Linked DNA regions of Sus scrofa. The protein of the gene in region 3 purifies or fractionates together with the protein of the main gene of each other region. This does not show direct contact. Links are inferred from orthologs where the notes say so. Each region holds a gene or a part of one and is shown on either strand. Other genes may lie near its edges. The genes, in order: KDM4B, COPS5 and FBXO22.

Region 1 (10,222 bases), on a different chromosome or scaffold from region 3:
AGAACACTCTTTCCCAATCTTCTGGTGCCTGGTGGGGTGCAATACCAAGGGGGCATCAAGAATGGCTGGGCATTGCCAATGATGAAATATTTGCCCCTGTTTAAATCTACTCTTTTCTCAATTTTGAGATTGTTTTGGTGGATGAGGTCAGAATATTTTCTTTTCTTTTTCCTTTTTTTTTTTTTTAAAGGCCCCAAGTGTGGCATATGGAAGTTACCAGGCTAGGGGTCGAATCGGAGCTGCTGCTGCCGGCCTACACCACAGCCACAGCAACACAGGATCCAAGCCTTGTCTGCGACCTGCACCACAGCTCAGGGCAATGCCAAATCCGAAACCCTCTGAGTGGGGCCAGGGCAAACCCGCATCCTCATGGATACTCATCAGCTTCGTTTCAGCTGAGCCACAACAGGAACTCCCTCTTTCTTTCTTTTGTTGTTGTTGTTGTTGTTTCCTCAGCATGAAGAAGTTCCTGGGCCAGGGATGAAACTGTGCCACTGTAGTGATAATGCCAGATCCTTAACCTGCTAAGCCACCAGGGAACTCCCAGAAAATTTTCTTACATTCCCTGCACTTTAAATTTCGTTAAAACAACCAGGACCTACTTTTTTTAAATATAGAGTATGTGAGTTCCCTGGTGGCTCAGCAGGTTAAGGATCCAGCACTGTCATTGCAGGCTCAATCCCTGGCCACAAAACTTCCATGAGTAGAGCCAAAAAATAAATAAATTAATTAAATAAAGGAGTTCCTGCCATGCCACAGTGGGTTAAGAATCTGACTATAGGAGTTCCCGTCGTGGCGTAGTAGTTAATGAATCTGACTAGGAACATGAGGTTGCGGGTTCGATCCCTGTCCTTGCTCAGTGGGTTAAGGATCCAGCGTTGCCGTAAGCTGTGGTGTAGGTTGCAGACACGGCTCAGATCCCACATTACTGTGGCTCAGGTGTAGGACAGCGGCTACAGCTCCAATTAGACCCCTAGCCTGAGAACCTCCATATGCCGCGGGAAGTGGCCCTAGAAAAGGCAGAAAGACAAAATAAATAAATAAATAAATAAATAAAATAAAGGAGTTCCTGCCATGCCACAGTGGGTTAAGAATCTGACTATAGGAATTCCCGTCGTGGCTCAGTGGTTAATGAATCCGACTAGGAACCATGAGGTTTCCGGTTCGATCCCTGGCCTTGCTCAGTGGGTTAAGGATCTGGTGTGGCCATGAGCTGTGGTCTAGATCACAGACAAGGCTCAGATCCTGCATTGCTGTGGCTGTGGTGTAGGTCGGCGGCTACAGCTCCGATTAGACCCCTAGCCTGGGAACCTCCATATGCCGCGGGTGCAGCCCTAGAAATGGCAAAAAGACAAAAAAAAAAAAAAAAAAAAAAAAAAAGAATCTGACTGCAGTGGCTCAGGTCACTGGGGAGGTGCGAGTTCAATCCCCGGCCCAGCACAGTGGGTTAAAGGAACTGGCACTACCACAGCCACGGCTCAGATTCAATCCCTGCCCTGGGAACATCCATATGCCTCAGGTGCAGCCATAAAAAATAAAAAATAAAATGTAGTATGATTCTAAATACTCTGATGTACGAAAGATGGAAATTCATTCAACAAATGAATGCTTACTGAACACCCAACTGTGTGCAGGAACTGCCCTAGGTGCTAGGGATACGAGCAGTGACCAGATGCACATTGTTCCTGCAGTGGGGACCTCACACCCTCATAGAGATGCTCCCAAACTACAGCCCAAAGGTCAAATCCAGCCTGCCACCCGTTCTGTATGGCCTACAAGGTCAGAGTGGTTTTGACATTTTAACAACTCGGAGGGGTGAGGGGGGAATCAAAAAAAGGAAAACAGTTCATCACATGTGAAAAGCATGTGAAATTCACATTTCTGTGTCTAAATAAAGTTTTATCAGAACACAGGCACATTCATTTGCTTCCGCACTTTTGCATTACGAGGGCAGAACAGAGTGGTCAGGACAGAGACTGTCCCACCTGCAACCTGCAAAGCAGTAAACAGGAGTTCCCATCTTGGCTCAGTGGTAATGAATCCGACTAGGATCTATGAGGACATGGGTTTGATCCCTGGCCTCACTCAGTGGGTTAAAGGATCTGGTGTTGCCATGAGCCTTGCTGTATGTAGGTCGCAGAGGCAGCTCAGATCTGGCATTGCTGTGTCTGTGGTGTAGGCCAGTGGCTACAGCTCGGAATCGAGCCCTAGCCTGGGAACCTCCACATGCCATGGTTGTGGCCCTAAAAAAAAGACAAAAGATTGAGGAGTTCCCATTGTGGTGCAGTGGTTAACGAATCCAACGAAGAACCATGAGGTTTCGATCCCTGGCTTTGCTCAGTGGGTTAATGATCTGGCGTTCCCGGGAGCTGTGGTGTGGGTTGCACACGCAGCTTGGATCCCATGTTGCTGTGGCTCTGGCGTAGGCCAGTGGCTACAGCTCCGATTAGACCCCTAGCCTGGGAACGTCCATGTGCTGCAGGAGTAGCCCAAGAAACGGCAAAAAGACAAAAAAAAAAAAAAAAGACAAAAGATTGAAAAAAAAAAGCCATTAATAGTTCCTCTCTAACCCTTCATAAGAAAAGCTTCTGCCTCAGTGGATGAGACAGACTATAAATATATAAAGAGATTAATAAACACTTCTGGTAGTGCAGAATGCAAAGAAGAAAGGATAGGCTAGGGAGAGCAGGTGGACGGAAGGGTGAATTTAGGCAGAGGGTCAGGGACTGTGTCTCTGAGCAGAGACCTGAATGACAAGGAGCCAGCTGGGGGGAGACCTGAGGGAACAGTGTTCTGGCAGAGGGCACACCACATGCAAAGGCCCTGAGGCAGAGAAGAGGAGGCAGGGAAAGTGGTTTCTGACCCAAGGGAGGAGGCAAAGGAGTGAGGGGTCGCGGATGGTGGGAGAGGAGCGCACCCCGGAGGACAGAAGAGAGAGGCCACGGGAAGGGTCTGCAACTTTTCCCAAGGACACCAGGAAGCCACTGGAGGGCCCTGAGCAAAGGAAGGCCGTTTTTCCAGTCTGTAAAAGCCCCTCGAGGGAGCAGGACTGAACATGGACAGACGAGTTGTGACGCTTTATCTAACCAACGAGATGCCCCAGAACAGGCCAAGTCAAAGCAGCAGCGAGTAACCAAAAACCGAGCCATCCAAACACAACGTGGACGCACAGATCCGCTGTGGTCTCAGTCTTGCGGCGGTACAGACTCTAAGTATCGTAGTTAAATGCATTTCACTGTGTAAAAGCATCTGCAGCTGGCGCATTAACAGTCCCGTGACCACGGACATCACTGCTCAGGAGGAGGCGAAGATGAGGAGTGAGTCACCTCGGAGCCGACTTGAAGAAAACTGTGAAAGCCAACTGACAGGCGCAGCTCACACAGCTCTAAGCCTGCCCACTGCAATTCCAGATCCTGGGAGCCTGGGTAGGGGCCCTGCTTCGGAGACCCCCCCACACCACGCCTGGCTGGCCCCAGGGTGGCTGGAAATGAGAGCCTGCAAATGTGAGCCCCTCCCTTTTAAATGGGGCGGCAAAGAGGAAGGGGACAGAGGGACCCAGAACTTGAGGCGGATCAGGGTCATGGCTAAATACCAGGCTGCTGTGGGGTTAGAGGTTAAGTGAGAGGGATGTCACCTGGGGAAAACTGTGTGCCTGGGGGACACTGGTTGCTGTCTGAGGACATTGTGGTTGTCACAACTAGGGGGGAGGGGTTACTACTGGCATCAATGGGATAGGGGGTCAGGGATGCTGCTCAACACCTCACAGTGCCTGGGACGTGCCCGCCATCCCCAGAGAACAACCTGGGCTTGGATGTAGACAAGGCAGAGTAGGGAGGGACCCTGAGAGCAGGAAGAATTCAGCGCCCCGGCATCATGAGAAGCACTTCAGTGACTTTCATCTCCTTTGATCTCCTCAATAACCGAGGATGGGCTCTTATGACACCCATCATACAGATGCGGAAACCGAGGCCCAGAATGATGAAGTGACTTGACCCAGAGGAGGGATCTGAACCCAGGTCTCTCAGATTCCGTTTGGGGAATGGAGGGGAGGACAGGCATTCAGGAACCCCACCAAGAACACAGGTCAAAAGGGAGTTCACGTTCAGCCCCTTTCCCCGCCTGGCTGATGTTCTGGGTACTCAGGCCAGAAGCAAGGGACCAGGACTGGGGCAGGTAAGAACCGTGGCAGTGAGTCCCCACTGAGCAGCCCTGGAGCAGGTCTCTGGAGCACAGCCAGGAACCAGGCCCAGGCTGTTGGAGAAGCATGGGGTGACCTCACAGCTGCTTTGCAGGGCCCTCATGGTCAGGCAATGGCCCATAGTTCCTCTGCTTTCCCCCACCCCAGCTTCCTAGTAGGCTTGGGAAAGTTTAGTGACCCCCACCCCTCCACCTTTGCTCTTGAGCAAGTGATGGGCACAAGGTCTCACAGCTTGGAGCCTGTCCACCACACTTCTGGACTCCGGGGAAGAGAGCCACCCAGAAATGCTTGTTTGCCCACACTGTGGGCCGTACTGCCCACCCCGAGCCAGGCCTCCACCTCGCCAGCACAGCTGTGCCCCACAGCCCTAGACACCCATCCCTCCCCTTCCCCCACTAGACCCAAAGCCCCCCGAAGTTAGAGACTCCACGAAACCTGCCCCAGTGCTCAACGAACCCAACATCCCCAGGCCAGGTGAGTGTGGGATGGACGCAAGGACTGAGGCTCTGCCGGGCCAGCCAGGGGAAGGGGCAGGGCACAAGAGGGCAGGGGCCAGAAGCCAGCAGAGGAGGCGGAGAAACGCGGGGTCAAGCAGAGCAGCGGGGGTGGGAGACAGGGGCAGAGAGGGCCCCCAACAGCCCCAGAGGGACTGGGGAAGGGTCTTTCCTAGGACGCAGAAAAGTACAACAAAGGCAGGGCGGAGTCGGGAATGACCGATCAGCCATACCTTTAAGCTCTAGTATTTAACATCTCCTTAGCAGCCCACTTCCCCAAAGCGACAAGGATCAGAATCAATTGTTACTAAGACCTATATACATTTCCTCTCAACAACTACACACTCATTCTCTCTCTCTCTCCCACACACACACACACACACACACACACAGCATGTGACACTGTATCTGCTGGAATCGCCACAAAACCTGGGAGCATTCAAGCAACTGCACCTCTGCTCCTGGCACTGCCCTCCCCCAGGGCAGAGCAGTCTGACCGAGGAGGTGCCCCCGGCACGAATGGGGAGCATCATGATTTGCCCAGCATCCAATCAGAAACACAGAAAGAGGGCCGGCGAGTTTCAGAAACCCTCCACTCAGATCAGCACAAGTTGACTCCAGACTTTCACATTCCGTCCTTTGGGGTTCCAAAAAACAAACTAACTGCAAAGACAGAGCGGCTGCCCACTGTTCTTGCAAGGGTGGAGAGAGAAGGCTGACCCATGAGTTGATAAGCTATCCTGATGCCTCAGAAGGAAGCTATTATTTGAGAATTAGGGGAGTCATCAGCTCTTGCGACAAGGAAAGCCCACAGAAGTCATGTAAAGAGACCGTTTCAGGGGCTTTCTCCAGCCTGGGGACAGCGGGATAAATGGCTGTCGAGGCAGAGGAGGGGGCAGGCATTCTCAGACCCTAAGACATTGCTGGCACCCAGTTTGACCCAAAGGAGCTGGCTGAATAAATGCCTTTGATAGAAACACATGGGGAAAAAAGGACACACTCTTCACACATTACAGGATGGGATCACTGGGCTCCACTGAACAGAACAACCTTCTCAATAGTTTCATAACTCGGGAAACAGTTCCCCAGGTGCACCTGAATTATTAAAACAAAAGCATCCTCCCCCGACCAAGCAGATGGGACACACCAAGGCACAGTCCATGTCTCCCCTGCCCCCAGGGGAAAGAAAATCCTCTGTAAAACCTTTCCATGTGGCCCCACGGAGGTGCATCCCATTCTGCCTGGTGTCATCGCGCCCACTGGGTGGAGACCCAGGCCCCAGCAGATCTGGAGTAGGTTCCTTTCAGAATGAATCCGTCCCCCAGCTCCCACGAGGCTGGATGGGACAGCCCAAGGGGTCTCCGCGGGAGGGACTCTACGATTTATTTCTACAGAGAAGGGGGGCTTCGAGATGGCTTTCGGGCCGGCAGGGTGAGGCACTGAGGGCACGCGTCTGTAAGCTGCTATATGCATAGCAACTGGATACATTAAAAAAAAAAAAAATCCAGGTTGCATGCTTATTTAGGGGGGCTCAGGAAAATGGGGGACGAGTTTGGAAGCCGCGATGGAACGGCGGGTTGATTCGGGGAGATGGGTGGGATGCAATGATGGACATTTCGGGGGGGCACCACTGGGAAGCGCCTCATTAACCCCACCGGTGCCCAAAGGGCTGGAAATGCAGGCGGGCTTCACCCAGGGCCTGGGATTTCTTTCTTTCTCTTTATTATTATTTTTTAAATCATTAGGATTGTTGTGAATAATAGAAGGGGAGGGCCCTGCCAGGCAGGGCCAGCCGGGCCGGGCCACCCACGCTGTCATCTTTTGTGCGGGGCCGACGGGGACGCCCTGGCCCAGCCCCCGCGCGCCCCTGGCCCGGGCAGGGCGCCCCCGCCTCCCGCCCCCGGCCCCGCCATTGTCCAGCCGCACCGCCCCCGCCCGAGGTCCGGCGGGCGCCCGGGGCCAAGCGGTTAACGCCCCCAACCGCCTCGCGGGCCGGGACAAAGCGCGGCGGCTGCGGCCCGAGCAGGCCGCGCCCGAGGCCTGGGCCTCGAGTCCCGGGCGCCCGCCCGCCCGCAGCCCCGGGCGCGGCGCGGGGACGGCGGCGGCCGCAGCGGGGCCCGCGCTCGGACGCGGCGGCCGCCTCCCCGCGGGCTCACCTGAGGCGGCGCGCGCGGCCCGGTCCGGAGCAGCGGCGCGCGCTCCCCCGCCCTCGGCGTCGCACCCCCAGGCCCGCTCGGGCCGGGCCCCGCTCGGTCGCTGGCGGCCGAGCCCTCCGTGAGCGCCCCGGGTGGGGCTTATAGGGCTGCGTTCCAGCTCCGCCCCGGCTGCCATTGGCCCCCGAGCCCACGCCCGCACGCCCATTGGCTGACGCTGACAGCTCCGCCCCTCCCCTCCACCGGGCCCATCAACACCTCACGGCCCGCCCCCCGCGCGCCTCTATTGGGCGGGCGCAGGCGCCGGTCTCGCCTCGCCATTGGCCTGCCGGCCGGGACACGCCGGCGCCCACCCACGTGCCCGCTGACCGGCTCGGTTCTCATTGCAGGCTGAGCACGCCAGGCAAGAGGCCGCGACCAACGCGACGGCCCTAGGCCTCGGATTGACAAGGACGCCTAGGGGACCGCCCAACGACCGCACGGGGGCAAGAGAATATTGGCTTACTGGATCAGCCCCAAGAGCGGACTGGCTGGGGCGAGTGCCAATCACGGCCCGGGCCCCGCCTTGGTTATCAGGCTGCAGCTGAGTACGTGAGACCCAGCACAACATCAGCACCCCGCCTGGGAGTCGTAGCGGTGGGTTCGAGACCCGGAGCCGGAAATTGGGAGCCGCGTTCTCCACTTCGCAAAGTCCGGAGTTAGGAAACATAGCACGAACAAAACTCAATTTGTAAAGGAGGAGAACTGGAGAAATAAAAGTCAAGCAGGAAGCGCCCCTGTCTCTCCTTTCCTCCAGACCCTTCAAAAAAAAGTTCATTTCCATCACAAACAATACAACTTTGCAAAGGCGCAAGGCCTCCCTGCTAAAATTAGGTGACGTCCCCTAAAAATGAGGTAACCTTCCCTAAAACGTGAAGGACGAGAGGAGTTCGCTGCTTCCTGACCAGTTCAAAGCTCAGCTGGGCCCAGGTGCCTCACTGGTTGGCCTCGAGCAAAGTAACCTCACTGGGCTTGTTTTCTCCGGTGAAAAGGATATGATGGTGATACACCCCCTCACGGTCTGCTCCTATCCTGGGAAGTTTGCACGAGTTAAGTGAAAACAGGCACGTAAAATTTGACCATGTCACTTCACAAAGTGAGCATTTAGCTAAGGTGTATCATTAACATCGTTTCGGTGATTAATTGCGGTCAGGCAGTAGAGTGGGTACACTCACATTTCGCTGGCAGGAGTGTAAAACAGGCAACTGATTTATAAGGCGGTAAGTGTAACTACATTCTATTCCTGAAGGTCATGTACCCTGAGAAAGTCTCCCAAGCTCACAGCTTGCCAGTTCAAGGATGATGTTGCAGCACTGTACCTAATTGTTCCCAGTATTTTGCTCTAAATATCTCTCTCTAGGAAATAAGCAGCCTGTGGCACTGGGTACTTTAGAATACTTTTAACTTTATAGCAATTAAAAACAGATTGGAGTTCCCCTGTGGCTCAGTGGGTTAAGGACCTGGGGTTGTCACTGCAGCAGCTTGGGTCGCAGCCCAGGAACTTCCACATGCCACCAGTACAGCCAAAAAAATTAAAATTAAAAAAAGAATAAAAAAGAAGTAGATCTACAGGTACAGTCAGAGAATGATGTCTACAAGCCATGGAGAGCTGCAGAATGGTCCAAATTTCTGAACAGAACATTATGGAAATGAACCTTCAGCAAATAATGCTGTGTGGTTTCTAAGGGCACATACCTGTGGCCCCTCGCAAAACAAGGCCACCCCTAAACTGAGAAAACTAAATCTTTGGGGAGAGGAGGGATCTGCATTGGTAAAAAGGGTAATTGGTAAGGACTTCCATCTGTTCTAGTGTGTTATACATTCTCATGGGGCCATATTTGGATATTCCTCATGCAGTTAAAATTTAACTTAAAAAATAGGAAGTAGTAACTGCTCCCATGGAACACCCTGAACTGCGGGGGGGCAGGGGGGAACTGACATGTAATTTGGTAGCAGTAATACAGTGTCAAAGTGCAATCAAGGGGGAGTCCCATCGTGGCTCAATGGAAACGAATCCCACTAGTATCTATGAGGACAAGGGTTCGATCCCTGGCCTTGATCGGTAGGTTAAGGATCCAGCATTGCCGTGAGCTGTGGTATATAGCTCACAGACCCAACTTGGATCCTGCGTAGCTGTGGCTGTGGCATAGGCCCGTGGCTATAGTTCTGATTCAACCCCTAGCCTGGAAACTTCCATACGCCGTGGGTGCAGCCTTAAAAAGCAAAAAAGAGAAAAAAGGGCAATCATGGGAGTTCTCGTTGTGGCTCAGAGGTAACGAACCTGACTAGTGTCCATGAGGACTTGGGTTCAATCCTTGGCCTCGCTCAGTGGGTTAGGTATCCAGCATTACTGATATGGAACCCTAGCCTGGGAATTCCTTCCATATGCCACAGGTGTGGCCCTAAAAAAAGACCAAAAAAAAAAAAAAAAATGCCGTCATGAAGGGATCCCCCTACCTCAAAACCTTTCTTTTTCTACTTCCTAGTTTGTCCTATAACACAGTGAATTCCAGTTGATTGGATTCAATAGGCTCTGGACTTTTTTGGCCACACCCACAGCACGTAGAAATTCCCAGGCCAGGAACCAAAACATTCCTCGGCAGCAACTCAAGACACTGCAGTGACAACACCAGATCCATAACCCACAGGGAAGCTCCTAGACCCTGGAGTTTCTTTAAATTTTTATTAATTTATTTTCTTTTTAGGGCCACACCTGCGGCATATGGAAGCTCCTGGGCTGGAACTTCAAATCGGAGCTGCAGCTGCCATCCTGCACCACAGCCACAGCAACATCGGACCCAAGCCACATCTGCAGCTTAAGTCACAGGTTGCAGCCATGCCAAATCTTTAACCCACTGAACAAGTCCAGGAATCAAACCCACATCTTCAAGGATACTATCTCGGGTTCTTAACCAGAAAAGCCAAAATGGGAACTACTGGAATTTTTTAAACCGAGGGTCCTAAATAGGTTCTCAGCTTTCCGATTTTGTTTATGTAAATAAACTTCACAGCTGTAGAACCCAGACAGCAAGTATATTTGAGGGTTCATGAAACAGTTCTTTCAACTTTTCTGTTTGAATGTTTTCATAACAAGCTGTTAGGGAGAAACTATAATCACTGTCATTTAATTAAAAGGTGTCCTAGGTAAAGCAGAAAGGACACACTCTCAGAATTTTCCAATGGACAGACGAATTAACTTGGGAACAACTCAACCTACTTGTCCTGGTTTTCAAATCTTTGCAGACGGGTACAGATCTCACAAAGGGCTGGGGCATCTGTCCCTAAGACAGACCGGCAGGCCCTCTGGCACCGGCCTTAGATGACGCAGGGCTAGCTGG
Region 2 (9,694 bases), on a different chromosome or scaffold from region 3:
CATTAAAACTTAATGATATGCCTTTGGAAATATTTATAAAGGGTCTTATTTTTAATGAAGTATAATTTATCATAAAGTATATTTTATTTATAATAAGAGTATATTTTAATAAAGTATATTTATAATAAAATGCTCTCTTCGGGGGTTATTTCTGCCTGGGCTAGACTGTTGAGCAGATGGGACACTGTGGGTTGTCTCTGTAGTGTCCATTTAGCCTCAGTTTGTGGTGGTCATGCAGTTTGGGTATCACTAACCCCATTTCAGCTCCCCAGGTGCAGGCTCATGACCAAAGTTAGACCAATCACAGTGAAGTCAGAACCTTATTTTGACAACCATGAGCAGCTTTTTCCCCCTGACTGGATGCTGTGGTGTACAGCCGCTTTGGAAGAGTCCAGCTTGAGATTTATTTAGGTCAACATGTGGAGGGCAGAGCTGAGACATTATAGAAAGCCTAATCCAAATATGATTTTGGACTCTGTAGTTTAGGTGAGCCAATAAATTCCTTTTATTGTTTAAGCAACTGTTTTGGGGGGGATTTTGTTGTTACTTGCAACCAAGGCACCATGGCATGCATATTTTCTATCTCACCATGATGTCTTAGTTGATTAGATCACCAAGGTCAAATTACATGTGGATAACAGTGTTCAGGTGTTGGAGTGAAAACTGCTAGGATGTTTCCAAGATGGCTTCAAGGATTCCTTACTCTTTCATGTCAGAGAATCCTCAATGACTCTGTCACTGTTCCTAACTGAATGGCTCAATTGGTATTGCTGAAGACTGTGCACTAAACACAGATTTTAGCCGATCATTGGGGGCAGTCATGGTTTTGTTTTTTGTTTTTGTCTTTTTGCCTTTTCTAGGACCACTCCCGCAGCATATGGAGGTTCCCAGACTTGGTGTCGAATCGGAGCTGTTGCCACTGGCCTACACCAGAGCCACAGCAATGCGGGATCCAAGCCACATCTGCAACCTACACCACAGCTCACGGCAATGCCAGATCCTTAACCTACTGAGAAAGGCCAGGGATAGAACCCGCAACCTCGTGATTCCTAGTTGGATTCGTTAACAACTGCACCACAACGGGAACTCCCATGGTTTTTTTTTTTTTTTAAGTGCCTAAAAATGGAGGCTAGGTCATGCTATCTCAAATTGGGGTGCCTTTATTTAAAGGATTATCAAATGAGACCAAAAATGCTATTATGTCATCAACTGTCTGAGAAGGTATTTGGATGCTAGTAATAATTGGCTTCCTCATCTTACTAAAGACCACCTCTTTGCTAAATCTAAATGAAAAACTTTTAGGCTTTGTGTTCCTTGACCTTGCGCCTTATGTGAAGTCACTTATAAATTACTTCTTAAAGTTTTCTTACTTCTCTGCTCTCATGGTCTCCTCTTCCTCTGACCATTTAAAATTTGATGTATGCCATGATTTGTCTTGGGCCCTCTTATTTCCACAAATTCATCTCATCTAATCTGATCCAGCCCACAACTTTCTTGAGTGCTCTTGGAAACTGACTAGTACATTCCTGTTTAAAACTCTTTAGCTCCCTATTGCTGTTAGGATAAAATCCAAAAGGCCCCTGCAGGATCTATGCTCATCTTACTGACTGAAGTCATCTCTGTTACTCCATACAAACTATTCGACACTCTCAGATCTAACCGAATCTCAATTTTTTTTTTTTTTTTTCGGTCTTTTTGCTATTTCTTGGGCCGCTCCCGTGGCATATGGAGATTCCCAGGCTAGGGGTCCAGTAGGAGCTGTAGCTACCGGCCTACACCAGAGCCACAGCAACACAGGATCCGAGCCGCGTCTGCAACCTACACCACAGCTTACGGCAACGCCGGATCCTTAACCCACTGAGCAAGGGCAGGGACCAAACCCGCAACCTCATGGTTCCTAGTCGGACTTGTTAACCACTGTGCCACGACGGGAACTCCAAATCTCAATTTTTGAAGGTTCTGGGTTCCTGCTCTCTGCCCCTGGCCTTCCTCACATTGCTATCTTCTTTGCTTATAAAAACATAACCTGTTATTTTTTTTCTGGCTAGTCCTCCAATCTATCAAATTTCAGCTTAATGTCAGGTCGCTTCCTACAGGAAGCCTACCTGGTTAACTCCTCTATGTGGTAAGTGTTCCTCCTGAGAGTTTCCCAGCACACTTTATTTCTCCCTTCATAGCAGTATTCTTAGGTTCATCTTAAGTTAGCTTTAGTCTCTGTTGTAAGTTCTGTGAGGAATGTTGCCATTCTACCTTGTTCAGAAAATCTCCAGAAATCTAATATCCAGCACAAATGAACATCTCCTTAGAAAAGAAAATCATGGACTTGGAGAAAAGACTTGTGGCTGCCTGATGGGAGGGATCGGGAGCTTGGGCTTATCAGACACAATTTAGAATAGATTTACAAGGCGATCCTGCTGAATAGCATTGAGAACTTTGTCTAGATTCTCATGTTGCAACAGAACAAAGGGTGGAGAAAAAAAATGTAATTGTAATGTATACATGTAAGGATAACTTGATCCCCTTGCTGTACAGTGGGAAAATAATAAAACAAAAAAAAGTAACAATCAAAAAAAAAAAAAAATCTCCAGAGAACAAAATGGCCTAGTTCAGTAAAAATGCTTGGTGAACATTTGATTGACTAGATACCTGTGTTAGACTTTCTCAAATAAATTATTTGATCTTCAGGAGAATAATTTATGGTGTGACTTAGTTAATGTTTCATAGGAACATAAAAACGTTTCAGTAAATTTTATTTTTTACAAACAGACTGTCAAAAGAAGGCATCTAATTCTTATTTCCACAAATCATCTCATCTAGCCCTGGTCTACAACTTTCTTAATAAAATGTTCTTAGAAACATCAGACTGGTACATTTCTGTTGTTTAAAACTCTTTAGCTCCCATCAAATATAAAATGGTTAGAATAAGAGACCACAACAGCAGAGAAGAAAACTTTAAGAAGTAATGTATGAGTGACTTCACATGTGGCCCAGAAGTCGAGGAAAACCAAGCCTAAAGATTTTTCATTAGATTTAACAAAGAGGTGGTCTTCGGTAAATTGAAAAGTGGCTCCGACAGTCAGTATGTTAGGTGAAATGCTGAAATCTTTTGACTAATTTAGATAGGCAAGGCTCTTTAAAAAATAGGAAAGCTCTAATAAATATTTTTTTTTTTTTTTGTATTTAAGAACATTAAAGGGAGTTCCCGTCGTGGCGCAGTGGTTAATGAATCCGCCTAGGAACCATGAGGTTGCGGGTTCGGTCCCTGCCCTTGCTCAGTGGGTTGACGATCCGGCGTTGCCGTGAGCTGTGGTGTAGGTTGCAGACGCGGCTCGGATCCCGTGTTGCTGTGGCTCTGGTGTAGGCTGGTGGCTACAGCTCTGATTAGACCCCTAGCCTGGAACCTCCATATGCCGCGGGAGCGGCCCAAAGAAATAGCAAAAAGACAAAAAAAAAAAAAAAAAAAAAAAAAAAAAAAAGAACATTAAAGGATACTAGTAAAATAATGTATCCCCTCCCAGAAAACAATCAAAGAACAATTTCATTTAAAGAATTTTATTATAGGATGTTAATATTCAGGACACTTCAGAGCACCTTATTCTTCTAATCGTATTTTTGGTAACTGGTTTTAAATTGTTACTTGCGTATTTTTCTCATACTGGCAAAAGTACTATTTTGTGATTGTTTAAGAGATGTTAATTTGATTAAATAGTTTATCCTTAATAACCTGAGACATCAATCCATGGATAGCTTCTATGGTAGTTTTACAGCTGGAAAGAAAAAATACATCACATAATGTCACGATAATTAAAAACTGTTTCAAACATGCAAGTTCCCCCACCCCCACATCTATCCTTATACCCACAATAATGATTTTTGGTTCTATTCACATATACCAAACCATACCAATTTACAGCTTATTCTTTATTGTTTACTATAGTGAATTTTAGCCTCCTGCATGTTTTTTGACCATTTCATTACTTACTAACACCTTTCCAAGAGAATGACAATGTAAAATTTGATATAAATCATAGAAGTTAATTTTGTTACTTGTCAGAAGGTTAGGGAAAATTCTGTTTCAGGTTACTGAAGTTTTTTATAATTGAGAATTATAGACTGATTCCAATATTACATTAAAATCTTCCATTCTTTTTTGTTCATTACTTAGAATAATTTTTAAAAATGATTTTAGGAGTTTCCATCATGGCTCAGTAGTTAATGGGTCCAACCAGGAACCATGAGGTTGTGGGTTTGATCCCTGGCCTTACTCAGTGGGTTGGGGATCTGGCAACGCTGTGGTGTAGGTTGCAGACATGGCTCGGATCCCGCGTTGCTGTGGCTCCAGTGTGGGCCAGTGGCTGCAGCTCCAATTCGACCCCTGGTCTGGGAACCTCCATATGCCTTGGGAGCGGCCCAAGAAATGGCAAAAAAGACATAAAAAAAAAAAAAAAAAAGATTTTAAAGAATCTTATGCTTTTTCTCCCTGAAATAATCACAAACATCCTTTGAACAATTCAAAGCCAAAGTTAGGTCAGTGAGTGAAGGACTTGTATTTTAGAATTGATTAAGAAAATGATAAAACACTACCAATATTCAGAAGAGATGCAATTCTTATAAAGTTACTCCTAAAAGCAAAATTCTCTAATTTTTTTTTTTTTGGCCACACCCATGATATGTGGAAGTTCCTGGGCCAGGGATTGAACCTGCACCACAGTAGTGACCTGAGCTGCTGCACTGACAATGCCAGATAGTTAACGCAGTGAGCCACAAGTGAGCTCTGAAAATTCCCTATTTTTTAAAAATCGTTTTTAAAAATTATTTTAAATTTTGTTCTTACTACTTTTCTTATATAATTGAGACATTCCCACAGTGAAATTTTTGCTTCATAAGAAATTTAGATTTAAATGCAGATGAAATTGTAAATCAGAGACATATAAAGATACATGAGCACAATGACATACTAAGATCAAGTATCAAAAGTAAGATCTCATGTCAAAGAAAAATGTAATTTTTATCCAGGCTACTAGTTCTATACCTTTAAAAAACCCATGGAGAAGAAAGGAATGAGATCATTGTAACCCAAGATGGCATCTACTTCTAATACACTTTGCCCTCCCTTCTCTCTTTTCTTTCTTACCAACTGGTACAGGTTTTTAAAAAATGGATACCAAGGTATTGGTTTATATAGATGTCAACACAGTTTTCCCTCCCTCTCTATTCCTAACTATCACATTACAATTCAAAATTTTGTGAAAGTAAATGCTTTTTGGTAGTCTTTCCAATCCTGTATGCATCTGAAGGACCACCATGTAATTATTTCCTATGTTATTAGAGAACCTATCCCAAGTTCATAACAAATTCTTGGTAGTAAAATTTGGGATACTAAAATACTGTATAAAGAATTATTACATAAAATTAAGAGAGATACAATCATTTATCAGATATTTATGGGGTTAAACTTTAAATTTAAGAAATTCTAATTTAATCCTTTAGATGATAAGGTTAGAACAGGTTAGGGCATCCTTTTGCAAGTTTTTGTTTTTTAAAGGTCCAGCAATGGACTAGTTTTCGTTCTTACAGTTTCTAGCTGAACTTAGAAAAGGTAACTGGGAATTTTTCATACACTACCTAGACCTTTTAGACTCTGATGTTCTTAGTTACCGTCTTAAGAATTTCAGCTGAAACCTGCTTTTGACAACTCTTAAAGGCCCAAAGAAGTTAATATTCAAGTACCATTCTAAGTTATAAGTAAGTTGAGCCATAAGGAATTTGAATATTGAAAGAAAAGAGTGAGGAATAGATTTGCTCTTACCTGTCTCGTGTAGCTTTGGCAAGTTTGTCTTCTGACTTTCTGTCATGCGTTTCTAAACCCAACATAAAACTCCCTCGTCCCAGCTGGGCTTCTGATTGTTCTAATTTCTCAGACAAATCAAAGACCTGACCGGTGGTATAGTCTGCATTCTGTGGGGAAAATGATATTGTGTCTATATATAGAACAAGTCTATCATTAAAAAAAACAAAATTTTCTTCTATATAGGATCTTTTGGAGTTCCTGTTGTGGCGCAGTGGAAATGAATCCTACTAGGAACCATGAGATTGCGGGTTCTATCCCTGGCCTTGCTCAGTGGGTTAAGGATCCAGCGTTGCTGTGAGCTGTGGTGTAGGTCACAGATGCGGCTCAGATCTGGAGTTGCTGTGGCTGTGGGTTGTGGCTGTGGCCAGTGGCTATAGCTCCAATTAGAACCCTAGCCTGGGAACCTCCATATGCCGAGGGTGCGGCCCTAAAAAGGACAAAAGACAAAAAAACCCCCAAACAACCATGTTATATATAGAATCTTTCATTTACAGATAATTCCACTATGAAATCTAAGTAGAGGAATTCCCATTGTGGCTCAGTGGTTAACGAATCCGACTAGGAACCATGAGGTTGCGGGTTTGATCCCTGGCCTTGCTCAGTGGGTTAAGGATCTGGTGTTGCCCTGAGCTGTGGTGTAGGTTGCAGACGCAGCTCAGATCCGGCATTGCTGTGGCTCTGGCGTAGGCTGGCGGCTACAGCTCCGATTAGACCCCTAGCCTGGAAATCTCCATATGCCGGGAGTGGCCCAAGAAATGGCAAAAAGGACAAAAAAAAAAAAAAAAAAAAAAAAAAAAAAAAGAAATCTAAGTAGATAGTCAGTGAAGTAAGAGGTCAAATTATACTTGCAAAAAGTGATCCCAAAGCTCATGCAGTTCAAATGTAGAGTTCTTCCCCTTTCATAATTTTAATACTAAGTTTGGAATTTTTCTTTTTGACTGCTTAAATCTAATATGTGTTATTATAAGAAGCTTCCAAATACACAGGTCTGAGTCCAGGTTCTGGCCCTGCTGCAGACTGGAAGGCCTTGTGAGAGCGCCTTTGCTTTTCTGTGCCTTCAAGCCTTCCTGTGAAAATGGGGAAGGAAGGTGATAATTTCTACCTAAAGCTATTGTGAAGATTAAATTGTAGTGATATTATATAAAGCTCTTAGGACTGTCCATGGCACCTGGTAAAGGCTTAATGGTTGTTAGCTAATTTTGTTATATTTTTTCTTGTTGAACTTCCAGAATTAGTACTTATATCAGCATTTTAAAAATTACATTTGTTGTAGCTTTTCTGATTATAAAGTTAATAGTTATATTGGAGTTCCCGTTGTGGCTCGGTGGTTAACGAATCTGACTAGGAACCATGAGGTTGCAGATTCGATCCCTGGCCTTGCTCAGTGGGTTAAGGATCTGGCATTGCTGTGAGCTGTGGTGTAGGTTGCAGATGTGGCTTGGATCCCGCGTTGCTGTGGCTCTGGCGTAGGCCGGTGGCTACAGCTCCAATTTGACCCCTAGCCTGGGAACCTCCATATGCTGCGGGGGCAGCCCAAGAAATGGCAAAAAAAAGACAATAAATAAATAAATAAATAAAGTTAATAGTTATATAGAAAATTTGGAAAATGTAGAGGAATATACAGAAAAAAGGAAATACCTATAATCCCTCCACATCGCTATAACCAGAGCTGTATTTTAGAGTATTGCTACACACACTCACATGCATACCCACATTTGTTAAACTGAAATATGATATAGACTTTCATAAATTTTAAAAATAAAAAATTTAATAATTACATATGCACATTTAACTGTAATATTTTAAAAAAGATTTTATTGGAATATCTTTTTGTTATTCTATTTGCTCAGTCTGTAAGACCATGTACAGGAAATATAGTTCAACCAGAAGATATTTTTTAAGAGTTATTTGCTGTCATCTTAGTTATTACAAGGAGCCCTATAAAATGTTACCAGCTTTCCAATGATTTTACAAACTTATGATATTTTTTAAAGGTGTGATTATATTCACTTTCTCTGGATCTAAATGATTTAGGTCATGAATACATTCTACTCCACAGATTTGGAGAAAATCCTAGGGTTTGTAGACTACCTCACATCTGGAAGATTTAGTGCAAGCTATTAAAAAATGTAGGGTAGCAGAAATAGTTATACTATTAAAATAAAGAAAGAATCAATTACATTTCAAAATACACAGAGAAATAAATCATAAAATGATTTTTTTATGGTAACTTTTAGATTACATGCATTAGCTGGGGAAACATGAATTGAAAAAAAATGTATTTTTTTCTTAAAGTGCTGCAATATACTATATATAAAACCACAAAAAAGTCACCAATATAACCTTTTCTTAATTATTAATGTCCTCATATATGCAGTGCTGGAATATAGGGACAGCCATAGGCTGAGTAAGTAGAGCTGTCTGCTTTTATACAAAAGTTCAGATCACTCCTGCCTTACAGTTCCTCCTTTTGCCATCATCTGTCACCTCTGGCTGCTATCAGTATACCTGTCTCTAAGGAAACACCACACACATAAGGCATTTAGCAGTGCATGGTGCATAGAAAGCACTGAATAAATATTTGCTATTATGGTCACTCTCCTTCCTTCCAGTTTGCTACTTCTGACCATTGAGGATAAGAAGAAAGAATGGAAAGCGTGTTAGAACTGTATTTAAAATCGCAGTAAATATGCTCAAGTGAGGTCTCTTCCCATGAATACAATAAACAACAAAAAAATTTTACTGTGGCTTTATTATAATGCCTGGCACTTTGCGAACTGCTTTACACATAAAGTATTTCATATGATTCTCAGTGCACTTAACAATGTGGGTACTCTTATCATTGATAATAAGAAAGGCTCAGTCACATTAAATAATATTCTGAAGGTCATATACAGTTTGTAAAGCAGCAGAGTTGTTTTTGAACTGAGTTGATCTTATTCCAGGTTTTGTGGTTCTAATCACTATGCTATACTGTACTCTATGAAGTTTTAAAAAAAACCAAAACAGAACTGTTTCTTATTAAGCTCTAGATAGAAGTTTGTTAAATATTCTTGTAAATGTTAGATTTTAATGATATATTGGAAAATATTTATTGACTTTCTTGTTGTTGTTCAACATCTGCTGCTTTTATGTAGTGATATTCTGATTTCCTTCTGGGGACATTCTTAGCCCACGTGGCTCCTGAAAGACTTTCTTCTACCCCAGCCCAGCAGTAAAGCATGTGCCCTGGTCTAGCCACTCAAGGTGATCATTACCTTGGCCTAGAGCAGCTTTAAGGATGGGTATGTAACCTCAAAACTCAGACATAATGAGGCTTTGCCTGGGAATGTGCATCTGTATGTATGTATGTATGAATGTGTGTATGTGTATCTTGATCTTCTGAATATGAAACTGCGAGGCTGAGAGGTCTAAGCTAATGCTGCCATCTTGCTTTCACATGAAGTCTGAAACTGAAGCCAACTGACCTGAAATCAAAGCTAAGAGAGGAAGACCAAGACCTCATAATATTGTCTGAATGCAGACTTAGGCTATGCCTGAAGTAAGCCCAACTCCTGGACTTTGGAGTTTACATGATTCTTTTTTGTGTAAGACAGCTTTGGTTGGGTCTCCTGTCACTTGTTACCAGAGTCCAACCTGAGACAAAACAGCATCTGTATTCTTCTCTGTTAGGTGTTTAAGGCAGAGGCAGATTTCACCCTCACCTGGCCCACTATATTTGTCATTTAGACTTGGTCTCAATGGTACATGACACAGATTGTGACTTGGCCTAGTATCCTAATCTACCTCTGGTCATGAAGAATCTGATCCCAGCCTTACTGTTTTGGCCAAGTCAGATATAGC
Region 3 (9,694 bases):
CTTTTTTTTTTTTTTTATGGTTTCCTTTGCTGTGTGAAAGCTTGTCAGTTTGGTGAGGTCCTATTGGTTTATTTTTGCTTTTATTTCTGTTGCCTTGGGAGACTGACCTGCGAAAACATTTGTAAGGCTGATATCAGAGAATGTTTTGCTTGTGTTCTCTTCTAGGAGTTTTATGGTGTCTTGTCTTCCGTTTAAGTCTTTCAGCCCTTCTGAGTTTATTTTTGTGCATGGTGTGAGGGTGTGTTCCAGTTTCATTGATTTGCATGTGGCTATCCAGTTTTCCCAGCACCACTTGCTGAAAAGACTGTCATTTTCCCATTTTATATTCATGCCTCCTTTGTTGAAGATTAATTGACCATCGGTGTCTGGGTTTATTTCTGGGTTCTCTATTCTGTTCCATGGGTCTGTATGTCTGTTTTGATACCAGTACCACACTGTCTTCATTACTATAGCTTTGTAATGATGCCTGAAGTCTGGGAGAGTTATGCCTCCTGCTTGATTTTTGTTCCTCAGGACTGCTTTGGAAATTCTGGGTCTTTTATGTTTCCATATAAATTTTTGGATTGTTTGTTCGTTCTAGTTCTGTGAAAAATGTCATGGGTAGTTTGATAGGAATTGCATTGAGTCTGTAGTTTGCTTTGGGTAGTATGGCCATTTTTATAACATTAATTTTTCCAACCCACAAGCATGGCTATCTTTCCATTTCTTTGAATCCTCTTTAATTTCCTTGATTAATGTTTTATAGTTCTCAGCATATAAGTCTTTCAGCTTCTTGGTCAGGTTTATTCCCAAGTATTTGATTTTTTGGGGTGCAATTTTAAAAGGTATTGTATTTTCTAATATTTAATTGTTAGTATACAGAAATGCGACTGATTTCTGAATGCTAACCTTATATCCTGTTACTTTGCTGAACTTGATCAATTCGAGCAGTTTTGGGGTTGAGTCCTTAGGGTTTTCTATAAATAGTATCATTGTCATCATATTTTCTTTTCCTTTCTTTCTTTTCTGTTTTTTGTTTATGTATCCCTTAACTACTTTTTGTGTCTATAGATGATTTTACTACTTTTGTTTTTCACACTTCCTACAGATTTTTATATTTCTAGTTTTGGTCTTTCTCTTTTTCATTTAGAGAAGTCCTTTTAACATTTCTTGTAAAGGCAGTTTAGAGATGCTGAACTCTTAGGTTTTATTTATCTGTTAAACTCTGTCATTCCTTCAGATCTGAATGATACCCTTGCTAGGTAGAGTGTTCTTGGTTGTAGGTTTTTTCCTTTCATCATGTTGAATATATCATGCCATTCCCTACTGGCCTGCAGAATGTCTGCTGAAAGTCTCCTGACGTTGTGGGAGATGCCTTAATCCCACTAATTGCCTTTTCCTTGATTCTCTCCTAATCTTTAATTTTTGCCATTTTAATTATAATGTGTCTTGGTGTGGACCTCTTTGAGTTCATCTTGTTTGACACTCTGTACTGCCTGTCCCTGATAACTGTTTCCTTTCCCAGGTTAGGGACGTTCTTCAAATAAGTCCTGTCTCTTTCTCTCTCCTCAACTTCTGGGACTTTATAATGTGAATGTTAGTACTCTTGATGTTGTCCCATAGGTTTCTTAAACTACTCTCATTTAAATTTTTTTTTTTTTTTCTGTTCAGCTTTAGTTACTTCTGTTGCTCTGTCTTCTAGTTCACTCATCCATTTGTCTATCATCTGATTTGCTGTTGGCTCCTTTTTGTAGTTTTAATTATTGTTATTTTCAGCTCTGTTTGGTTCTTCTTTTTGACTTATTGCTAACCTTCTCACTGTATTCATCCATTCTTCTGAGTTCTTTGAGCATCTTTGTGAACATGACTTTGAACTCTGTATTAGGTAGATTGCTTATCTTCACTTTGCTTAATTCTTCCTGTGGGATTTTATCTTATTCCTTTGTATGGAACGTATTCCCCTGTCACTTCATTTTGCTTGATTTTCTGTTTTTATTTCTTTGTATTAAGTAGGTCAGTTATGTTTCCTAATCTTGGAGAGGAGATGCCTCATGGGGCTTGGAAGCACAGTTCCCTTGGGTCACTAGAGTGATAAGCCCTAGGAGTGCCCCTTGTATGGGCTCTGAGAGCCCTTCTGCTGCTGCAAAGCTGACTGCTGTGAGTGTGCTGGTAGGCAGGGCTGGCATCCTGGCCTGGTTGGCCACCAGGTGCTGCGTCATGTGGAGGTTGCCAGATGCTGGTGGGTGGGACTAGGTCTCGGTGAAGTTGGCTCTGGGGCCTGGGGAGGGCCAGGGCTTGTGGCAACTTGCTGGTGGGTAGGTAAGCCCTTGGCACTAGTATGCTAGAGGGAGGGCTGCAAAATGTGTTAGCCAGCACACATGTCCTCCTGCTAGAACAAGCTCACGTAAGTGGCTGCTGCTAGATTTATGTCCCAGGTGGGTCTCTCTCAGGTTCCTTTTAAATTCCTGCCTCTGAGCTGAGACTCAGAGCATAAGAGATTTTGCATGCACCTTTTATGAATGGATTCCCTATTTCCTCAAGCCTGGTAGCTCTTCTGTGCACAAGTGCTGCTGGCCTTCAAAACGAGGTGTTCTGGGGGCTCATCTTCCTGGTGCAGGATCCCTGGGATGGGGAGCTGAGTGTTGGGCTCCGATCCCTCACTCCTTGAGAGAACCTCTGCAATTGTGATTATCCTCCTGTTTGTGAGTCGGCTGTTCTGGGGTGTGAGTCTGGACAATACCGTCTTCCAGTTTCCCCATTCCCCCTTTCTCATGGTGGTTCCTTCTTTATTCTTTAGTTTTGGGAATTTTTTTTTTTTTTTTTTTGCTAGTCTTGAGGTTGTTCCTATCGATAATTCCTCCGTAGGTAGTTGTAGTTTTGGAGTGGCTGTGGTAGAATGTGAACACAAGGTGCTATTACTTTGCTCTCTTAGCTGCTCCTCCCCAAATTATATTCTTTAAAAATGCCTTGTGGACCATCCATAGGTCTTATCCAGCCCTGAGGCCACTGCAGGGTCATCATTCTGTTGCAGTATCTTCTATGAGTTTGTGTGTATGGAATCTACTCTGAAACATCTTAACATTCCCAGATCAACATTTTCACATAATCCATGTTGAGGTTTTGTCATGTGCTAACTGCTTCATTCCATTTTGTTAGTAAAAATCTTTGAAATTTTTAGAAGGAAAAATATGCTCACCCTTTTCATTTAGTTCGTCTACTTTGCCACTTGTCTCTAACAAATTTACAACATGATGTTTGGTGGAAAACATGAGTCTGAATAAGCCCAGGCTGTAAGTGGAGATTAAGGCACAAATAAGAATGACTGGGATGTCAAGGATGTCACATATGAAGTCACTGGTTCTGAGGGACTTTAGGAAAAGTTTTGTAGAGGATATGGCACTTAAGCTGTTTCTTGGGGAAAACAACCTTAAGTCAAGTACAAAAGGAAAAGAACTTCACAAGGAAGAAAAATTTATATACATATATATATAAATATCTATATATATGAGTTTATCTGGATAATAGTAAGCCAGAGATTCCTGTAGAAAACTAGTTGGCAAGCTGGAAATGAAGGCATATATTATTTAATTTGATAGGCAGTGGAAAGAGGAGTGATACAGTCTGTATACTGTCTGTCTGTTGCTGAGATGTTTCTGTTGTCGTGATACCTGTTCATATAAAGCAAATGGAATATTTTGCTGGTACCCAATGTTTTTGTCTTTTTTTGTTTGTTTAAGAGCTTGAATTGTGAAAATGAACTCCTTGGGTCAGGCTGGAATGAGTGTGATGTGAAGAAATAATAGATGTTCAAGAAATGAACGAGCTGAAAATGAAAGTATGAGTGAAAAATGAATGAGAAGTGGATGAACTTAGAATGCTAACACTGATCTAAAGGAGGGTAGGGCAACAGAAATTTGGACCAAGGCAAAACTATAAGGGGCCACAAAAGCAATCATGGATTCCTGTGATCAAATTTTTATTTTTTTTCTTTTGTAGAATGTCCATATCTTACCACGGACAGTTCTTTACATGGCTGATTCAGAAACTTTTATCAGTCTGGAGGAGTGTCGCGGCCATAAAAGAGGTGAATTTCAAAGGAAACAGTTTTGGATTTTTTTTTGTTTCTTTATGTACCTGTGTTTGGACATAAATACTGGTTTCATTCTTAGAGTTATTGACTTTCTGAGGCTATGAGCCCACTCTCTGCAGAAGGCCTCAATATATTCTCTTTGAACTTTGAGGAACCCTCAAAGATTTCTAAACTGTGTGGTACAATTGAAACTAAATCCTTGGAAAGTGTTTTTCTCATTTTGAAATATTTTAACCCTCCAGGGACTTTTTTTTCCTGTTTAAAACAAGATGTCTCTTTTTGACTATTCAAGCCTTTTGTCGTGTTGGATGACCATTTACTAAAGTTATCTGTAGATACTGTGCATTCTTCTTGGCTTGCTAAGTGAAGACGTGCCTAAGTGTCCCAAGATGGGCACAATGAGGCCCAGAGTTAGACTTAGCTAGTGGTACCATTGCCTGATTTGAATCCAGGTGATTGTGTAGTAGAAAAGTCATTATGGGGAGTTCCCGTTGTGGCACAGTGGTTAGCGAATCCGACTGGGAACCACCGGGTTGCAGGTTCGATCCCTGGCCTTGCTCAGTGGGTTAAGGATCCCGCGTTGCTGTGGCTCTGTGTAGGCCGGTGGCTACAGGTCCAATTCAACCCCTAGCCTGGGAACCTCCATATGCCGCGAGATCGGCCCACAAAAGTGGCAAAAAAAAGACCAAAAAAAAAAAAAAAAGAAAACAAAAAGAAAAGTCATTATGCTTTAATATCAGCTGAACGGATGTCAGATCTGAAATTCAACTGCTACTGCTGATGTCATTGAAGCAGAAGCAGCATGTGAACAAATGGAAAAGGGAAATTGTCAATGCTGAAGGTCAGACTTAGAATTTAACATATAAAACGGGCTTGAAACAGAAAACATTTTGTTGTGAATCCAAGCTTTTAGATTTCCTTGTAAAGCGTTCTGGTGTAAAATGACTTAAATTTTATTTAATATTTGCTTTTTTTTTTTCCCCCTCCTTGAAGCATTAGACTTTATTAAGTGGATGACTTTGAATAATCTTGCTCCTGTCATTACAGCCAGGAAAAGAACTACTATGGAAGCAGCATTTGCCCTTGAGAAGCTCTTCCCAAAACAATGCCAAATCCTTGGGATTGTGACCCCAGGAATTGTAGGTGAGAGAATACCAGCTTGATTCCCTGCCTTGCATTAATGTGGGGTCCTATAGATTGGTGTGTTATTTGTAGCCTAAAGCACATATTTTTGACCTTCCAAAATTCAGTTAAGTTAGTCATATGTACCATTGTATTATATTTGACTTGTTAGGTTATTGTGGTTAATATTTGAAATCTCAGGGCTGTCCATACAAACCAAAATGTAATTCAGATCTTTCCAGCAACTGCTCATAAGAGAACAAAGATCTCATTCTTCCTCCCTACAAATCAGAAGGTAGTAGTGAGCATTCTCACTTTTGTCACTTCAGCCAGAAGTGAGTAGGGATGAGCTAGGGCTAGGATCAGGAGCTGCAGGCTGCCTTAGTAGGAACACAGGGACGGCCTTCCATTTCTCATTTTGGTTGCCCCTATTTAAAGTTTATAGCATGAGGTTGTGGCCTTTTCCAAGTTCGCTGTTGGTGAATTTTTGCTGGTTTTGATTTTTGATTCTCTTCTCTAGCTAATGGGGGAGTGGGATCCTGTCCAGGCAGCCATCGTGCCACGGTTCAGATCCCAGGCCTGGGATCCCAGCTGTACCACTTAGTATCTGTACGACTTTGGGCAAGTTAGCCGACCTCGTGGAGTTTCAGTTTCCCCATCTATGAAATGGGGGTGGCTGACAGTACCTCCTCACAGGGTTTGAGGAGTAAGTGATTTAGCGCATGTACGGCATTAAAAATTGAGATATGCAGTTCCCGTCGTGGCGCAGTGGTTAACGAATCCGACTAGGAACCATGAGGTTGCAGGTTCGATCCCTGGCCTTGCTCAGTGGGTTAATGATCCGGCGTTGCCGTGAGCTGTGGTGTAGGTTGCAGACGCGGCTCGGATCCTGCATTGCTGTGGCTCTGGCGTAGGCCGGTGGCTACAGCTCCGATTCGACCCCTAGCCTGGGAACCTCCATATGCCGCGAAAGCGGCCTAAGAAATGGCAAAAAGACAAAAAAAAAAAAAAAAAAATTGAGATATACAGGAGGCAGGGAATAAATGTTGGCTGTTACTATTTTCTTTGTTCCTCGCAGTAGTACTCCATAATTGTCATTTCTAGTCTTCACCGAGAAACTCTGGATGAGAATTTGAGTCTTGTGCAATGAAGTACAAAGAATTTCAAGTGTCTGCAGATGAATAAAGGAAAACATATGGTTGATGGGGCCTGTTTTCTCTCTCCTGTCAGCTCCCACCTTTATTTTCAGCAGCCCCATCACCAGACATTTCATTTCTCAGTGGATTAAAAAATGACAACAGCGACTGATTTTCTTAACTTTTGAGTTTCCCTTGAATGCATAATCTAGTTTTTAACCATTATTCGTTATTAACAAACTCTTCCATAGAAACATAGCTTTCATTTCTTACGTCATTCTGTTAGGCCTCCCCGCCCGACCTAGTGAGGCTTCCTCAGAGTGTGACCGGTTTCTCCTCTTTAAAATGTCAGCTGGGGCAGGAGCAGGAGAGGGCCGGCAGACCTGGGCCACGCTCTGGCCTCCACGGCCCCATGGTGAGGGCCTGAAGCTTCCTCTTGTACTTACTTGCCTCGTCTCAGGGCAGCTGCGTGCCTTTCTCCCAAGTTCTCTTAAGGCCTCAATGTCAGGGAATGCCATTCCAGCTCCCTTGAGTCAGGACCTGTCCTCTTGCTTGTGTTTTCTCAGACCTGCTCCTCACCTTTCTTGTTTCTCATTCCCGACAGCTCTGCTTTCTTTGAGCCACGTCCATGCATGTCACAGCAAAACTTCTGCCAAGATGGTTGATTGTTTTCCTTTTTCTTAGGCCTTAAGTGAGTGTTTCTAAAGCAGCCATTGGCTACTGGCCCATCGTCCTTCTTTAGGATGGAAAATTTTCAAGGTTGAGAATTTGTTCATTTTTATATACGCAGAGATGATTTTCTTTCTTAATTGAGTGAAATGTACAATCCTAAGTGTACCATTTAATGAGTTTTGACAAATTCATATCCTGGTGAAGCTGACATGCTAGTCAAGATGTAGAATATTTCCATCACTCAAGGAGGTTCCCTCGTGCCCTCCTCTGCCGCTCCTTAGCTGCCACTGGAAACCCCAGTCCCATTTCAGTGACCAAAGATTCGTTTGGCCTGTTGTTGAATGTCATATAAATGGAATCATTCAGTATATACTCTGTATGCATTGGCTTTTTCACTCAGCTTTTTTTTCTTAACCTCATGAATATTTTTGAGATTCATTTATGTTATATTGTCCACCAGTAATTCATTTTAAAAAATTCTGGGGAGTTCCCGTCGTGGCGCAGTGGTTAACGAATCTGACTAGGAACCATGAGGTTGCGGGTTCGGTCCCTGCCCTTGCTCAGTGGGTTAACGATCCGGCGTTGCCGTGAGCTGTGGTGTAGGTTGCAGACGCGGCTTGGATCCCGTGTTGCTGTGGCTCTGGCGTAGGCCGGTGGCTACAGCTCCGATTCAACCCCTAGCCTGGGAACCTCCATATGCCGCGGAAGCGGCCCAAGAGATAGCAACAACAACAAAAGACAAAAGACAAAAAAAAAAAAAAAAAAAAAAAAAAAATTCTGGGGTAGTATTCTGTGACCTAACTTGAATTAACTTTTGTGTATGGTAGAGGTAGGCTCAAGGTTAATTTTTTTTTCTTCATCTGTTTATCTAGTTCTTCCTTCACCATTTGTTGAATACTTTGCATTCTTATTAAATTTTTTCAGCACCTTTGTCAAAATTAATTGACTGTGCGTGTGGATCTGTTTCTGGGTTTCATTCCATTCCATTGATTTAATTTGTGTATCCTTAAGCCAATGCTATTTTACTGTAGGTCTTGATGTTCTTTTTAAAAATTGCTTTGATTATCTAGGTCCTTTGCATTTGCACAAATATTTTGGAATCATCCTGTCAATTTCTAGAAAAAGCTATTGGGATTTAATTTACATTATCTTGAGGCCTGCTACAGACAAAAAAAATGTTTTTATGTTTTGGTATTTTTTGTAGAGGGAGGTCTCATAATAAACTTGGAAATTTTATTTTGATGTTTTAAATTAAGAATAGATTATGTGGTGTTTGATTTGATTCTGAAATTTTCTGAGTATTTTTTTTTTCATTTTGTTCTATCCTTGGTTCCTAAAAGGCTTAACCCTTTTGTTTTGTTTTACTAGTAATAGTCATTTATTGTTTAAAAAAGGGAAAGAAAAATTAGAAGATAAACACAAAAGAAAATACTTAAGCAATTTTAAGCTTAAAATAACGATTAATGTTATGACGCATAAACTAGGCTTTTAGTACTATACATAGCTGTATGTATATGTGTGTATATGTATATATGTGGGTATGTATATACATGTATGTATATATTAAAATACAATTTTCAATGAATTTGTAATCTACTATATTTGTTTCAGTCTGCTAAGGCTGCCATAATAAAATGTTATAGATGGGGTGGCTTAAACAACAGAAATTTATTTTCCCACATTTCCAGTGTCTGAAAGTCCAAGGTTTTGGCAGGTTTGCTTCCTCCTGAGGCTTTTTCCTTTGGCTTATTTACAACCACCTTGTCTTCTCACTGGGTCCTCATATGGCCTTTTCTCTTTATTCTATGTCATCTCTGTTGTTTCTTCCTCCTCTTGAAAGGACAGCAATCATTTGGATTGGGCCCCCACCCTTATGACCTCATTTAACTTCTTTATTTAAAAAGCCTTATCTCCAAATACAGTCGCTCTACACATAGACACAGTTTATGTAATTGTTACATGCTTTTATGACACATTTTTTTCAAGTAGATTTGCTGTGAAGATGTGTTTTCTATCCCCCCCACAACTTTTTGTTTAGAAAGACTTCAGCTCTATAGAAAAGTTGAAAGAATGATAGGATAAACACATACCTTTCATCTGGATTTACCAGTTTAAAAATTTTGCAACATGTGTTTTTTCTGTCTTTGTTTATAAAAATATTTCTTTCTGAACCATTTGAAAGTAAATTTTAGGCATCATGACACTTAATACCCCTAAAAATTGGAAAGCTGAGAAACTTTTACTCAGATAGTGGCTATTAGCTTATTGATTAGGACAGTGACCTAAACTTTAGTTATCTAGGTGGGGCTGGGTAATTTACACCTGGTGAAACTTCTGTTTTTATTGAATCTGTCACAAAACTGCTTACCTTTTTTCCTAGTGACACCAATGGGATCAAGTAGCAGTCGACCTCAGGAAATAGAAATTGGAGAATCTGGTTTTGCTCTCTTATTCCCTCAAATTGAAGGAATAAAAATACAACCCTTTCATTTTATTAAGGATCCAAAGAAACTAACACTAGAAAGGCAACAGCTCACTGAAGTAGGTAAGTCATTATTTACCGGTAATTGCCTGTCTTGATTGGTTTTGTTTGTTCCTTTGAGAGAGTCTGAATTAAGTACACATTATTGGATATGTGGATAATTCAAACTGGTGCTTAACAGAGGCTAGTGCAGTACATTTTTGGTTGAATAGA

What was found.
Region 1: the proteins of FBXO22 (region 3) and KDM4B purify together in Homo sapiens (affinity purification with western blotting; 3 studies listed by BioGRID, with this or other methods). This does not show direct contact. The link is inferred for Sus scrofa from reciprocal best matches to the Homo sapiens genes FBXO22 and KDM4B.
Region 2: the proteins of FBXO22 (region 3) and COPS5 purify together in Homo sapiens (affinity purification with mass spectrometry; 3 studies listed by BioGRID and IntAct, with this or other methods). This does not show direct contact. The link is inferred for Sus scrofa from reciprocal best matches to the Homo sapiens genes FBXO22 and COPS5.

What each region holds. Positions count from the first base shown.
Region 1 is NC_010444.4:73,882,903-73,893,124, forward strand, and holds the start of KDM4B (lysine-specific demethylase 4B), read right to left. Parts: upstream 6,980-10,222; 5' UTR 6,849-6,979; intron 1-6,848. UniProt on the Homo sapiens protein: Histone demethylase that specifically demethylates 'Lys-9' of histone H3, thereby playing a role in histone code. Does not demethylate histone H3 'Lys-4', H3 'Lys-27', H3 'Lys-36' nor H4 'Lys-20'.
Region 2 is NC_010446.5:67,751,996-67,761,689, reverse strand, and holds the end of COPS5 (COP9 signalosome complex subunit 5), read right to left. Parts: intron 5,959-9,694; coding exon 5,810-5,958; intron 3,768-5,809; coding exon 3,683-3,767; 3' UTR 3,537-3,682; downstream 1-3,536. UniProt on the Homo sapiens protein: Probable protease subunit of the COP9 signalosome complex (CSN), a complex involved in various cellular and developmental processes.
Region 3 is NC_010449.5:56,157,488-56,167,181, forward strand, and holds part of FBXO22 (F-box only protein 22), read left to right. Parts: intron 1-3,975; coding exon 3,976-4,063; intron 4,064-5,116; coding exon 5,117-5,212; intron 5,213-9,379; coding exon 9,380-9,544; intron 9,545-9,694. UniProt on the Homo sapiens protein: Substrate-recognition component of the SCF (SKP1-CUL1-F-box protein)-type E3 ubiquitin ligase complex that is implicated in the control of various cellular processes such as cell cycle control, transcriptional regulation, DNA damage repair, and apoptosis.